2 linked regions of the Stegostoma tigrinum genome follow. The protein of the gene in region 1 interacts with the protein of each later gene in a biochemical or structural test. Links are inferred from orthologs where the notes say so. Each region holds a gene or a part of one and is shown in the gene's direction. Other genes may lie near its edges.

Region 1 (7,442 bases):
TTACCACATCCATAATTTTTAACAATATGTGATTCTGCTATCAATAAGTTAATATAATTGACAAGTATTTATTTCCCAGTTAACTTCAAGCAGCATATTATCCCTGTTATCCCATTTAAAATGTTTGACATTTAAAATGTGAGTGGCAATTATGACTTTATGGTTCACACAGATATAAAGTGGCTTTTGACAATATTTTAGTCATAGAGTCATACAGCACGGAAACAGACCCTTTGACCCAGCTTGTCCATGCCAACCAATTTCCTAAATTGAACTAGTGCCATTTGCCTGCATCTGCTCAATATTCCTGTAAGCATTTCCTCTCCACATACCCATCCAAATGTTTTTTAAATGGTATAATTGTACTTGCCTTTACTATTTTATATAATGACAGGGCCTCACAGGTTCTATATCACATCAATCAAGTCGGCTAATACAGCTTGGCTAGTCTAGGTGCGCAACTTGTTAATTGAAAAATATTTTTTGTAAATATTTAAGGTACCTTTATTTAAATAAGACTCAATAAATATATACTGAACTATCATAGTGCTCCCATAAATGGTGAATTTCTAAACTTAACCTTCTTTTTACCTGACCAATCTTAAAAATAACAGCAAGATACCTTTTTATAAAAAAAATCCAGGCAAATCATCCAAAAATATTTTAAAAAATCTTTGTTATATTCCATTTTGATCTTTTATGCATGCCATATATACATAACCATTCAACTACGTAGTAATTTATAGCAAATATACCATTGTCAAACCCATCTTTGGAAAATGCACAGCAATGTTCAAAAGTCAGTTTTCATAACATGATCAGAACTAAGTACAGATTAGTTTCAGTGAATAATCAAACTACATTGTAACTGTATATAAATTTGGTTTTGGAATTAGGTACCTCAGGTTGATTTTTACACTATGATGGTTCATGCACGTATCCAACTCTTAAAGTTAGGAGCATAGAAACCTCCAAAAATATTGCAGGAGTCAGCCATTCGGTCCTTTGAACCTGTATCACCATTCAATATGATCATGCAATTTCAGTATCCTATTTCCCATTTCTCTCCATATTCCTTGATTCCTTTAGCTGCAAGGGCCATGTCCAGCTCCCTCTTGAATATAGGGCCCCAACAGCTCTCTGTGGGAGAGAATTCCACAGGTTTGCAACTCTCTGAGTGAAGAAATTCTTCCTCGTCTCAGTCCTGTATGGCTTACCACTTTATTCTTAGATTAGTTGTGGACTTCCCCATCATTGGGAACATTCTTCCTGGATCTAGTGTGTCCAGTCCTACAGAGATGTTATGTGTGTCTATGAGAATTCCCCCTCATTCTTCTAAATTCCAGCAACTACAAGCCCAGTTGATCCAGTCTCCAAGTTGTGTACTCCAAAGTACATATTTCCTTCAAATGGAATACGATTAGAATCTTGATTATTTTAATTTTTGTACACAGGGAGCCTGAAAAACAAAGGTTAAGGCAGCTCTGATCCGTAATGATCTTTTCGTTGTGGTTCCTTTGTGTTATTAGGCCCTAGAATCACTGAACAACTTCACAATCAAAATTAGATTCTAAAGGAATATACATTTATGTAGCTTCTAATAGTTAAAAGACAAAACTACAAAAATTTGGAATTGTAGCCACTTCTGTAAAGAGTTCACTTCTTTTAAAACCTAGCTTAAGACTTAAATATTTGTGGATTCACGTCCCATGTTACTACTTACACGGCAACAAAGGATAAAATGCGGCTTTGAATGAATCAAGCTAATCTTCAAATTTCTGCATTCTCCAGGCTGAAAGTTTCCCACCATTTCACTTTAACGACTCAAACCTTTAGTGGTGGGACAGCTCGGATGTGATACATCTTGACTGTCATATTCAAATTGGAAAAAGCATTCTCCTGGATACTGGTCAGCATTTCTTTCTGCAACGCCATTACCAAAAACAACTTAATTGGTCATTCCCCCCGTTGACTGTTTATTCGCAAAAAATGTTGACTTATAAAACAGTCGCTGGACTCCAAATTCCATCCCATGCGAGTTTCTTTGGGGTCCTGTAAACGCTACATTTCTTTTTCCGGGTCTTGTTGAATATATGCAGTGACAGCATATGCCCAGTAGGTGTCGGTATGGGTGTGTCCGCTCGATAAGCCTTCTGCTGAGCAAACTTCATGCAGTACCAAGGAAAAAAAAGTTCAGGCAGTGATTAATGAAGTAAGTTATTCTATAGAGTGCAAATTCCCAAGGAAACCGGATGGATTAATTCTAATTAGGGAAGAATATATGATTAATTTGACGCAAAACACTTAAGAAATAATTAAATAGTGTTTTTCTCACACCAAAATCTGCAAACCATACTCATTTACAGTTTATATATCATTTATATATCGAGGAACATGCGCCTGGGTGAATATATGCAAATTATAAAAATCATGTTCAGTCATCCACAGTTTTATTCTTAAATGTATTCTATAATTACTACACATATAACTCCATATATACCTGTGTATACAGTAACAAATCATATTAATAAAATTGTATATAAATAAAAATTAAATTGGCATTTCTTGAAATATATTTTCAGAGAGTTTAGAGAACCTTAAATAACAAATGTTATATTTTTACATTTAACACAATTGGCTGTAAAATAATAAATATCACCAAGCAAAAGAAAAACTAAATCAAGTTGTTTTTCTCATTTTATTCTCACATGTAACTGAGTTTTCTGGTTATAAATTGTTGTCAATGTTTTCTTGTTGTACTGGTAAAACCTGAATATTTATCAAATGCAACCACTGTGACTGAACTACTAAAACCAAATGACAGTTAAAGTTTAACAAAATGGTAACTCATTAACATTGCATTTCATCATAATCTTGCATTACCATAATAACAATAATATTAATTCTAAAATTAAATTAGAAGTTATTCTTAGTGCTGCAAGTCTCAAAGGGGAGGTCCTTCCATCGAGTGAAAAGTAAATACACTACTTCCATAATGAAATAGAGAAAAATATTTCTTCATTTAAAAAATATCCTTGTGAGTTGTGTCTTAGCAAGTGTAAGTACTTTCAGAAAGTAATCACAAAAATGTCTGATGATTTTGGAGACAGTTCAATGGATGAGTTTTAAAATACTTTCTAGTAAATAGAATAGTAAAGAATAGGGCAACGTATTACCCAGTAAGCAACCGCATAAAACACACAGCTCTCTTAGACTATAATATGGTGCACTTTGGTGTTAACAACATGTGAAGGGCCACAAGAACAAGAAGTTCTTTGGATTTTTTTTTGTCAGTAAGATTGAGATCATCCCTTCCTTCCTCTCTCATGTCCACCAAGCGAAACAGCTCCGAGCTTTTTTTTACCTGGTCTTATTCAGCACTTGCATCATTCGCCAGCTTCTTTCCCCTAAACATCGGAACATATTCTGTTTGTGAGACCCACCTTCTGTTCTCACAATATGATTCAATTTTCATTCAAGTGCTACCTTGCCAAACTCCCTCCTGTTGATGTTGTTATTGCTTCCCTTTCGTCCCCTACTGTTCCTGCATTTCAAATCAGACATCGAAACCCTGCTCCCAGGTGAAGAGAGGTCTAAGGAAGGAATTTCAGAGTTTGAGTCACTGTGACTGAAGTTAATGCCAGCAGTGGAGGGATTAAGAAACTGGGGGAAATGCACAGGATTCACAAAGGCAAGGTTGTTGGAAAGTGGGATGGGTTGGAGATGGATTACAGGACAAGGGCCTTCATCCCCCTCCCTCTGGAAATCTATCTTCGTTGCCGGTAACTTACATCAAGTCCCATTCATCAATCATTCCTCTGCTTGCAGACCACGGAAGATCCCATTTTAAATGTCTCATCATGTTCAAATCCCACCAAAATAGTCCTCCTTGTCATATAATTCCTCTCCAACCCATCCCACTTTCCAACAACCTTGCCTAATTCTGTGCATTTGCCCAGTTTCTTAATCTCTCCACTGCTGGCATGAACTTAAGTCACAGTGACCGTAACGTCGGAAACTCCTTCCTTAGACCTCTCTTCACCTGGGAGCGCAGGGTTTGGATGAATTTGGTTTGACAGATTGAAAGTAATTATTAAACGCTGGCTAATGCTTCGTTATAAAAACGCTCACGTAACGCCGAAGAGCCAGCTCTCCTCACAAAATGCAATGACATCGATTTAAAATGGAGCTAATCCATGCTTTGAAAACCCGTTTTACTTCTATTCCAACCTGCACTGCAAAAGCTGTCTTGCCCAGGCTGATTGAGAGGTTGCTCCGCACTCCGCCCGTTTTAATGAGGTTGATTTGCAAAGGCGAAAACATTTCTGGGCAGATATCAGGAATAATAATTACATGTTTTAAAGGACGGCGCCACATCTCCTCGCTCTGGCAGAGAGGAGTGAGAGAAAAAAAAGGTTGGAGGTGATGGCAGGCTGCCAGCTGACGTCAATGGTAGGAGCGATGTGGTTATAAATATAAGAACTGGCGAGAGCTTCCAGCAGCTTCAAACTTCAGCACAGTCAAGACAAACAGGCTCTGAACTCAGCTAAAAGCACACAGAGAGAGCGCGCAGCTTTTCAGGACAGTGCCTCTGCGATAAGAGTTACGTGGTCGATCGACAGGACCTGGTGCTGAACGAGAGCACTCGCACCTTGCCCCCCCCCCCCCAACCCACCCACTCCCCGGTTTTATTTTCGTGAAGGGTTAGTAACCCCTTCTTCCACTTGTTGCAACCACGGCTTTCATGCAAAGTCTGACCAGCTGGGACTCGCGTTGCGACTCGCCATGTTTCCAGACGGCTCCGACCTACATTAATTTGATGGAAGTGGCCAACTTCTACGAGTCGGACTGTTCCCCGAACAAGTTGCACCGCGACCGTTCAATGACAGACCTGGGCATCGGTGACAACGAGAGTGCCATCGACTTCAGCCCATACATCGACCCGGCCACCGCCTCGGCAGCAGGGGGCAACTTTGAGCTCGGCAGCGACCTGCTGACGGATATTATGCTGTCAGACGAGTACAAGAAGAAATCCCTGCCCGACTACAACGCCTACTTGTCGATGATGCGCAGCTCGTCGGCCGGCGCCAGGCACCAGGGCAACATCCTGAGCTGCACCCCGCAGTTCCTGGAGACTCGGCTGGAGCCGGTGTTTGAGCAGAGCCCGGACGGCAAAGGGGTGAAGCAGGAGAGCCGGGAGGAAGAGGCCGCTGCTGGCGGGGGGATGTCAGTGCAGCCTGCAGCAGCGGCGGCCGCCGCCTCCTCTTCCTCGTACGTGAGGCCGCTGCTGCAGTACCAGTGCGTGGCCAGCGGCAGCAACAGCAACCTGTCCACCTCGTCCCTGTCCTCATCCACCACCCCTCCGGCCACCCCGAACTCGGCCGACTCCAGCCGAGCGGCCGCCAAGAACAAGAGCAAAAAGCTGGTGGACAAACACAGCGACGAGTACCGCCTGAGGAGGGAGAGGAACAACATCGCGGTGCGGAAGAGCAGGGACAAGGCCAAGCTCAGGAATGTAGAGACTCAACACAAAGTGCTGGAACTGACCGCCGAGAACGAGCGGCTCCAGAAGCGAGTGGAACAGCTCAGCCGGGAGCTGGCAACTCTGAGAAACTTGTTTAAACAGCTCCCGGAGCATACCCTGCTCAGTGCGTCCAGCAACTGCTGACATTGACTGCACAGCTCCCAATATTTATAGATTCTTATTTTCTTTCTCTCGCCTTTATAATATATATAAAAGCAACGGATATTGTGACTCTTTTGCATAAAGGAGTTGATCAAAAGGACTCTTTGTATATAGAGGATTCTCTGTGTTTACAGCACATTGCAGTAAGCGAGGTTGTATATCGTTTAGATGACCTTAACCCATGCATTTTACAACGGCAGGGAGAGGGATGAATGATGTTTCTTGAAACCAGCACTGCGGGGTTTTATACAGCAATGTATATAAAATGATGCCGTGCTTTAACTGTGACTTTTCTCAGTCGAAACACATGACGCAACAGCGTGTAACTTGCCAAGTGTGAGATTCATTTGTAATTGTCAGATGACAGCAGTTTTTTTATTACAAAATATTTCGGGGTTTTTCTCCCAGTTTCTCCCCCTCCCAAAAATATATATTTCTTTACTTCTCTTGTGTATAGGCTGGGGGTTCGTGCTCCTACTGAGACGCGTTACAACATTAATGTACATTTCTGAATTTTTTTAAAAGAAGTATTATTTTTTGACGCAAAAAACTGCCGTTTTGTAATTTCTCCGGTGCAGTCGCCTCCGTCCCAAAAGAATGGTGGAGGCTGTTGCTCTGAACTAGACGTTATCTTTTCATGTGTCGTATTGTCTCCTTTTCCCCTTTGCTTTTATTTTGTGAAAATGAACTGTATATTTGGGTGGTTCAGTGACGGAAAGGCGATGTTTTCAGCAGTTTGCTGAAATGTTTTCATTTGAATTGCGTCACTCCAGCGGTGACACAGCATGGAAGTGTACTGAAGAACATTTTATTCTGTTCCATGCAACACTTAAATTGGGTACAATGTTGGGTGAAAATTGTACAGTTATTTGCATTTTAGGAATATGTGGTGATTGTTGACTAAAGCTGTAGTATCCCTTTTCAAGCAAGTCAACTTCTAAACCGGTTAAAGTAGGTCATCTCAGGTGGATTGTACAAGACGTTGTGCATGAATTGTGTCGATTATTGCGATTCAGTGTTACGTCAGTTATTAAAGAGACTATTCATTTGAGGGACCGCCTGCCCTTTTTAAAGATTTCATTCTAAAATTACCACGTAAGGGGATGCTACAATTTTATATCAACTTTGATTGTGGGTCAAAGGAATAGAAATTATTTTTTATCAAATGAGCAATATTGTATTTATTTTTCTCTTTTAAAATTGAATTAAAATCAGTTTTAGTGAAACGCAAATATTTGCCTCGCTGCTGTTATTGATTCGTGTCTGTTTTAGGTTTATATTGGAAATCCTATGTTTAATATGACCCATATTAATTTTCGCTGAGGGTAGCCCTGGAACCTCCACTTGTCCTTGGGGCAAATAGTTTTCGTGCACTTGGCGCCTCTGTTTGGGAGATCCCAGAGCTAGATCCTAAATTCACAATTGTGCAGCACAGCATGCTCGTGCAATTAACCCCTCTGCTACAATCTTCAGTGGTTATATCACATTATCCTACCATTCTGCAGCATTGTGTGTCAATGCAGTTTTAATTTGTTTGCAGTTTTAAGTCCTGCAATGTTCTCACATTGTCAAAGTTTCTTACAGCTTCATCTGTCAGTGCCCTAGCTCATGTTATACTTCCCTCCAGCACAATATGCTGACGTACTAACACAGTGACTTGTTCTGCTAGGCAATGCTGGGGGCACCAGGCCACGTCTGCTAATCAGCACATTAGAGCATTGATAGCAGTTTCCAACATAATGCAATGCCCCATTGT
Region 2 (7,798 bases), on another chromosome or scaffold:
AACCTGCAGAAGCCACAGAAATTGATCAGAACCAGAGGCTGTGAATGACATGAGTTACAGTGGGATGTTCAACATCTCAATATAGAGATCACCTTGCTGCATTTTGTTTGCTTTTCTCTAGCGGTGTGGCAAGATTCTCATGAGACAGCGACAAGTTCCCAATTGACGCTCATTATTGCTTATTAAAGAACTTGTTAACATACCAATGTGCTATCAGTTGCAGTCTTATCAAACTACCATCAGGAAAACTCTACATGGAAATCAATGGGTTCTTAGTATGTTCAATTCACTGCCAGCTCCAAAAAACCTCTACGTTGGGCACCAGGAACCAGCATCTCTGGCACGCTCCATAGGCATTGACCACCCCACACACCCCTCATCCTCAGACAATGGAATTCAACATGTGCCAACCTCTCTGAACCCTCGTGGCACATCCCCAATGCTTCAATTTTGCACCTCAGGCCACACCAGCAACTATCACTCTAATATCACAGCAAAGACATTTCAGACACCTAGCTCACAGACTGGACCAGAATTCATCTCGATGAGCTTGCTGTCATTACACTTACTCAGAACACAACACTTACTGGGTCAGGAGATGCCTAAACGAACAGCATCAGAAAGATCAGAAAGTGAATACACCTCCTCCCACCCACCCTCCTGCAAAAATTCCATCCCCTATTCCCAATTCCTCCGCCTCCGCCGCATCTGCTCCCACGATAAGACATTCCACTCCCGCACATCCGATGTCCAAGTTCTTTAAGGACCGCAACTTTCCCCCCACGGTGATCGAGAACGCCCTTGACCGCGTCTCCCGCATTTCCCGCGACACATCCCTCACACCCCGCCCCCGCCACAACCGCCCCAAGAGGATCCCCCTCGTTCTCACACACCACCCTACCAACCTCCGGATACAACGCATTATCCTCCGACACTTCCGCCATTTACAATCCGACCCCACCACCCAAAACATTTTTCCATCCCCTCCCCTGTCTGCTTTCCGGAGAGACCACTCTCTCCGTGACTCCCTTGTTCGCTCCACACTGCCCTCCAACCCCACCACACCCGGCACCTTCCCCTGCAACCGCAGGAAATGCTACACTTGTCCCCACACCTCCTCCCTCACCCCCATCCCAGGCCCCAAGATGACATTCCACATCAAGCAGAGGTTCACCTGCACATCTGCCAATGTGGTATACTGCATCCACTGTACCCGGTGCGGCTTCCTCTACTTTGGGGAAACCAAGCGGAGGCTTGGGGACCGCTTTGCAGAACACCTCCGCTCAGTTCGCAACAAACAACTGTACCTCCCAGTCGCAAACCATTTCCACTCCCCCTCCCATTCTCTTGATGACATGTCCATCATGGGCCTCCTGCACTGCCACAATGATGCCACCCGAAGGTTGCAGGAACAGCAACTCATATTCCGCCTGGGAACCCTGCAGGCCAATGGTATCAATGTGGACTTCACCAGTTTCAAAATCTCCCCTTCCCCTACTGCATCCCTAAACCAGCCCAGTTCATCCCCTCCCCCCACTGCACCACACAACCAGCCCAGCTCTTCCCCCCCACCCACTGCATCCCAAAACCAGTCCAACCTGTCTCTGCCTCCCTAACCGGTTCTTCCTCTCACCCATCCCTTCCTCCCACCCCAAGCCGCACCCCCAGCTACCTACTAACCTCATCCCACCTCCTTGACCTGTCCGTCTTCCCTGGACTGACCTATCCCCTCCCTACCTCCCCACCTACACTCTCTCCACCTATCTTCTTTACTCTCCATCTTCGGTCCGCCTCCCCCTCTCTCCCTATTTATTCCAGTTCCCTCCCCCCATCCCCCTCTCTGATGAAGGGTCTAGGCCCGAAACGTCAGCTTTTGTGCTCCTGAGATGCTGCTTGGCCTGCTGTGTTCATCCAGCTTCACATTTTATTATCTAAGCATCAGAAAGATACTGCACGCCCTGACACACATCACACTACCCTACGTCAGAAACACATTGGAACTCACCTCAAGACTCCTACCACCGCTGGGCATCAGAGTGGGACACAAGCCCATATCGACCCTACCACAAGTGCTCACCTGAACTAAAGACCCACTCCCCACCATGGACAGGACCAATGTCATCTACAAGATCCCCTGCAGGGACTGAGAAACACTACATCGGACAAACAGGAAGGAAACTAACAACAAGAGCACATGAACACCAAATGGCTACAAAAAGACACGACCAATACTCACTCATCTCAATCCACGTGGACAAGGAGAACCACAACTTTGACTGGGATACCACCAAGATCCTGGGACAGGTTAGGCAGGGACAAGCACGAGTATTCCTGGAAGCATGGCACTCTCTACGAAGCAGGCTATTAATAAACACATTGAACTTGACCCCATATACATTCCACTATGGGGGAAAACCTGGAAGTGAGGCAATCCATCACAACAGACATCAGAGGTTTAAAAACCAGGCGGGAAAACACAGCGACACTTCATCAGAGGCTGCACTGAGGATGTTACCCAGCACGGTAACGAAACGTCTGTAGAACAACAAACCAGCTCGGCGAGCCAACTAACCTTAACACCCACAACCCGAGCTACAGATCTACTCCAAAACCTTAGAAACACTTACTCACTCTGAGCCTATATGGATGCTCATAGCGTCCCTGCCTTGCCTTTTTACGCATAGCCATAACACCATAAGACATAGGAGCAGAATTAGACCATTCAGCCCATCAGGTCTGCTCCACCATTCAATCATGGTTGATGTGTTTCTAAATCCCATTCTCATACCTTCTTCCTGTAACCCTTTATTCCGCTTACTAACCAAGAGCCTATCTATCTCTGTCTTAAATACAGTCAATGACTCGCTCTCCATATAACTCTGTGGCAATGAGTTCCAGAGTCACCGCCCTCTGGCTGAAAAATATTATCCTTCACCTCTGTTCTAAAGAGTCATCTCTTCATTCTGAGGCTGTACCTAGTCTCTCCTACTAGTGACAACACCTTCTCCACATCCATACTACCCACGCCTCTCTGTATTTTGTAAGTTTCAATCAGATTCTTCCCATATCCTTCTAAACTCCATCAAGTACAGACCCATAGTCCTCATCCATTCCTCATATAACACGTCCTTCATCCCTGGAATCATTCTTGTAAACATCCTCTGGATTCCTCCAACTCCAGCACATTCTTCCTTAGATACAGGGCAGTAAACTGCTCACAATATTCCAAATGAAGTCTGAGTCGAGCCACGTGCAGACTTAACTACTGCCAAGTTGCCTTGTGCTTCAGATTTCCAAAGCCTTACCCTGTTCAGAACATATTCTATCCATTTATTCTTCCTACCAAAATGCGTAACCTCACACTTTCCCATATTGTATTCCATTTGCTACTTCTTTACCTATTTGCATAGCCTGTCCAAGTCCTTCTGCAGCCTCCCTGCATCCTCAAAATGTACCTGTCCATCCACCCATCTTTATGTCATCTGCAAACTTAGCAATAGCACCCTCAGTTCCTTTGTCCAGATATTAATGTATAACGTGAATAGTTGTGGTCCAACACAGACCCTGCAGAACTCCACTAGTCGCAATCTGTCATAAGATCCCTTGATCCCCACTCTCTGCTTTCTGCCAGTCAGCCAATCATCTATCCGTGCCAGTACCTTGTCCCTAGCGTTGTCATCTTGTTCGGCAGCCATCTGAACAGCACTTTGTGAAAGGCCTTCGGAAATCCAAGTGGGTCACGTTCACTGGCTCTCCTTTGTCTAACTTGTTCGTTACCTCCTTAAAGAATTCTACCACATTTATCAGGGATGGCCTCCCCTTGATGAAGCCATGCTGACTCAGCCCTATTTTACCTTGCATTTCCAAATACTCTGTAATCTCATCCTTAATAATAAACTCTTAAATCTTATCAATGACTAAGCTCAGGCTTACTGGCCTGGAGTTTCCTATCTTCTGCCCCCTCCCTTCTTAAACAGGAATATTATATTAGCTTCACCAGGCTCATATTACTATGGCCTGGCCATGTCATTACAGCACAGTCAGTAAAAGGCAGTGTCATATAGCAGTCCTGGATCTGCTTGATGTAAGCAAAGTCAGGATCCTCTCCTTATGTAGGGTAAGGAGCTGAATGACTGGCAGCACACAATCCACCTTGACTCTTTTTACCCTACTGTGATTTGCTTCTGGAATCAGAATTTGGCAGGCATTAGGGAAGATTAAAGTAGGTGGAACAGCTTTTACTTGTTGGTATAACAAAAACAGTCTATGTCCAAGTGCAGCATATCCTTGAAAATATCCAAAGTTGGAAGTTACAGGTTATAGCCCAAAAGGTTTGTGTGGCATCAGATAAGCTTTCAGAGCGCAGCCCCTTGGTCAGGTGCGGTGTACTCCTTAAACTGTGTGATTTCAAATAAACCTGTTGGATTATGACCTGGTGTTGTGTGACTTCTGACTTTATCCACCCCAGCCCAACACCAGCATCTCCAGGCTTGGGGTGAAAAGTGGCCAATGGTTTTAAATCACATTGCCATTCGTGGGAGCTTGCTACGTACATATAGGTTGTTGCGTTTGTTCCATTACAGAAGTGGCTGGACTAGAAACGTAGTTCAATGACTGTGAAATACTTTGACAAGCGATGTGTCGCTACACAAATGCAGGTGTCTTTGTTAGTGTCCCCATGTGCTGGAACGTGTCTCCACTAATGGGCGGGACAATCTTGTGCACGCCTCGTCTCTGATTGGTTACATCATTCACCAATCGGGCATAGGTCCTCTCTGATGAAGGGTCTAGGCCCGAAACGTCAGCTTTTGTGCTCCTGAGATGCTGCTTGGCCTGCTGTGTTCATCCAGCCTCACATTTTATTATCTTGGAATCTCCAGCATCTGCAGTTCCCATTATCTCTGATGGGTTCTTTCCGGTTGCGGCAGATGATTAGCTCCAGGCGCTGACGATCAGAGCGGGCGGCACGCCAACGCAATACCGGTCGTCTATTGGCCCACCCCGTCAACCGCGTTGCCACTTGATTGGCTTCTAGTACTGTCCATTATAGCATCATGACATCATTGCAGAATACCGGGTACGTATTGTCTAGAGAGGTTATCAATCAAGAAGGGGATTGCGTCAGCCGAACAATGTGCGCTTCTGATTGGTCCTCTCCAGAAAGACCGGCCGTAGGGGGTGGGATCACCGGCATCGAACGGCGGCGGTATCGGCGGCGGGTAAGGCCTGGGACTGCAGGCGGGACGGGAACCGGGGGAGGGAGCGCAGGGATTGTCCGAAGGCCCGGGGTCCAGTAAATTGGAATAATAATGAAGGGGAGGAGTCCCACCGTCGCTCACGCTCGCAGCCCCACCCCCGCCCCCCATCACCCTCCCCTCCCCCTTACCCTCCGCCCACTCACCCTCCCTTACCCCCACCCCCCTTACCCTCCCCCCACTCACCCCCCTTACCCCCCACCCCCCTTACCCTCCGCCCACTCACCCTCCCTTACCCCCACCCCCCTTACCCTCCCCCCACTCACCCCCCTTACCCCCACCCCCCTTACCCTCCCCCCACTCACCCTCCCTTACCCCCACCCCCCCTTACCCTCCCCCCACTCACCCCCCTTACCCCCACCCCCCTTACCCCCACCCCCCTTACCCTCCCCCCACTCACCCTCCCTTACCCCCACCCCCCTTACCCTCCCACCACTCACCCTCCCCTCCCCCTCACCCCCCACCCCTCCCCCTCACCCCCCACCACCCTCACACTCCCTCCCCCCATCGCCCCCACCCCCCCTCACCCTCCCCTCCCCCCTTACCCTCCTCCCTTACCCTCCTCCCCACACCCCCTCACCAACACCTCACAACCTCCAACCCCCCTCCCAGCATCCACCTCACGCCCCCTTCCCAACACTGCCCCCCACAAACACCCACCTCACACCCCTCCCCCCCCAACCTCACAGCCCCCCTTCACCCCACCCCCCCAAATAGTCCCCTCCACCCTACAACCCACAGACCAACTCAAACACCCCCCTCCATCCCACACCCACCCAAACACCCCCATCCACCTCACACCCCCCCAACACCTCCATCCACCTCCCCCCCCCCCACCAAACATCCCACACTGCCCCAAACACCCCCCCACCTCACATCTTCCCAAACACCCCCCCAGCACGTCCCCTCCCACCTCATATCCCCTCCACCCAACACCCTGTCCAAACATCCCCCCCATCTCTCACTCCCCCCAGCACATCCCACCTCCACCTCACCCAACCCCCACCACATCCACCCAACACTTCACATCCCCTCCATCTTACAACCCCCCAAACACCCCACACCCCACCGCATACCCCCTACAGCCCACACCTCCTCCAAACACCCCACTCGACCCTACATCCCCTGACACCTCACACCCCTCCAAACACCCCCTTCCACCTCATACCCCCCCCCCAAACAACCCCTCCACCCCACACGCCCCACCGCATTCTCCCTCCTCATGACCCATCCACTCCACACTCCCCCCCCCCCCCCCCCAACACGACATCCCCCCCAATACCTCTCAACCCCACCACCACACACCCCCCTCCATCTCTCACTCCCCCCAAACACCCCCCTCCATCTCTCACTCTCCCCAAACACCCCCCTCCATCTCTCACTCCCCCCAAACACCCCCCTCCACCTCACATCCCCCCCCCCCCCCTCCCTCTTCCCTCAACACAGACAGTGTTGGGAGTCTGGATGATGCTGTCTGGGAGGTTAGTTGGGGGTGGGTAACCTCAAACTTTTAAAAAATACTTGAATGAGCACTTGAAATGTCATAAAATTCAAGGGTCCTGGCCAAGTGCTGAAAAGTGGGATTTCTGTGCATTTATGGAGTCAGTGTTGATAGAGACACAATAGGCTGAACGGCCTTTTCTGTACTGTGAGATTCTGAGGAGTTGCTGGAGAAACTCAGCAGTTCGGTAGCGAGAGAAACAGTTTTGAGTCTCGTAGAACCTGTCAATTCTGGGCAAGTTATTATGGAGCACGTGCCATTTACTAGCACCGTCAACAACCCTTTCGATTACTGTGATAATTGAGAGTGGACTGGGCAGTCATTGGCAGGTTTGGCTTTATACTTTTTTTGTACAAGGAAATTTTTCACACTATTGGGTAGATGCCAGTGTTGTAATTGTACTGAGCAGCTTGGCTAGGATAGTTCTGGACAAGTGTTCAGCACTATTGTTAGATAATTGTCAGAGCCCATAGCCTTTGCTGAATCCAGCGCCCCCGCCAATGTTTCTTGATACCATGTGGAGTGAATCAAATTGACTGAAGACTGGCACTCCTGGCTGAAGATAGTTGGATAACAAAGTGTGAAGCTGGATGCCAAGCAGCGTCTCAGGAGCACAAAAGCTGACATTTCGGGCCTAGACCCTTCATCAGAGAGGGGGATGGGGAGAGGGTTCTGAAATAAATTGGGAGAGAGGGGGAGGGGGACCAAAGATGGATAGAGGAGAAGATAGTATCAGAGATAATGGGAACTGCAGATGCAGGAGATTCCAAGATAATAAAATGTGAGGCTGGATGAACACAGCAGGCCAAGCAGCATCTCAGGAGCACAAAAGCTGACGTTTCGGGCCTAGACCCTTCATCAGAGAGGGGGATGGGGGGAGGGAACTGGAATAAATAGGGAGAGAGGGGGAGGCGGACCGAAGATGGAGAGTAAAGAAGATAGGTGGAGAAGGTGAGATTACAAGAGAGTTGCAATGGGAGAGAGATTCCCTGAGGTTGGTACCTATCTTCTTTACTCTCCATCTTCGGTCCGCCTCCCCCTC

Evidence for each region.
Region 2: the proteins of CCAAT/enhancer-binding protein beta-like (region 1) and cebpg form a complex in vitro, tested with the Homo sapiens proteins (2 studies listed by BioGRID and IntAct, with this or other methods). The link is inferred for Stegostoma tigrinum from reciprocal best matches to the Homo sapiens genes CEBPB and CEBPG.

Annotation. Positions count from the first base shown.
Region 1 is NC_081372.1:39,758,177-39,765,618, forward strand, and holds CCAAT/enhancer-binding protein beta-like, read left to right. Parts: upstream 1-4,400; 5' UTR 4,401-4,744; coding exon 4,745-5,668; 3' UTR 5,669-6,918; downstream 6,919-7,442. UniProt on the Homo sapiens protein: Important transcription factor regulating the expression of genes involved in immune and inflammatory responses. Also plays a significant role in adipogenesis, as well as in the gluconeogenic pathway, liver regeneration, and hematopoiesis.
Region 2 is NC_081369.1:65,875,923-65,883,720, reverse strand, and holds the start of cebpg (CCAAT/enhancer-binding protein gamma), read left to right. Parts: upstream 1-4,770; 5' UTR 4,771-5,077; intron 5,078-5,095; exon of another isoform or gene 5,096-5,219; intron 5,220-7,798. UniProt on the Homo sapiens protein: Transcription factor that binds to the promoter and the enhancer regions of target genes. Binds to the enhancer element PRE-I (positive regulatory element-I) of the IL-4 gene. Binds to the promoter and the enhancer of the immunoglobulin heavy chain.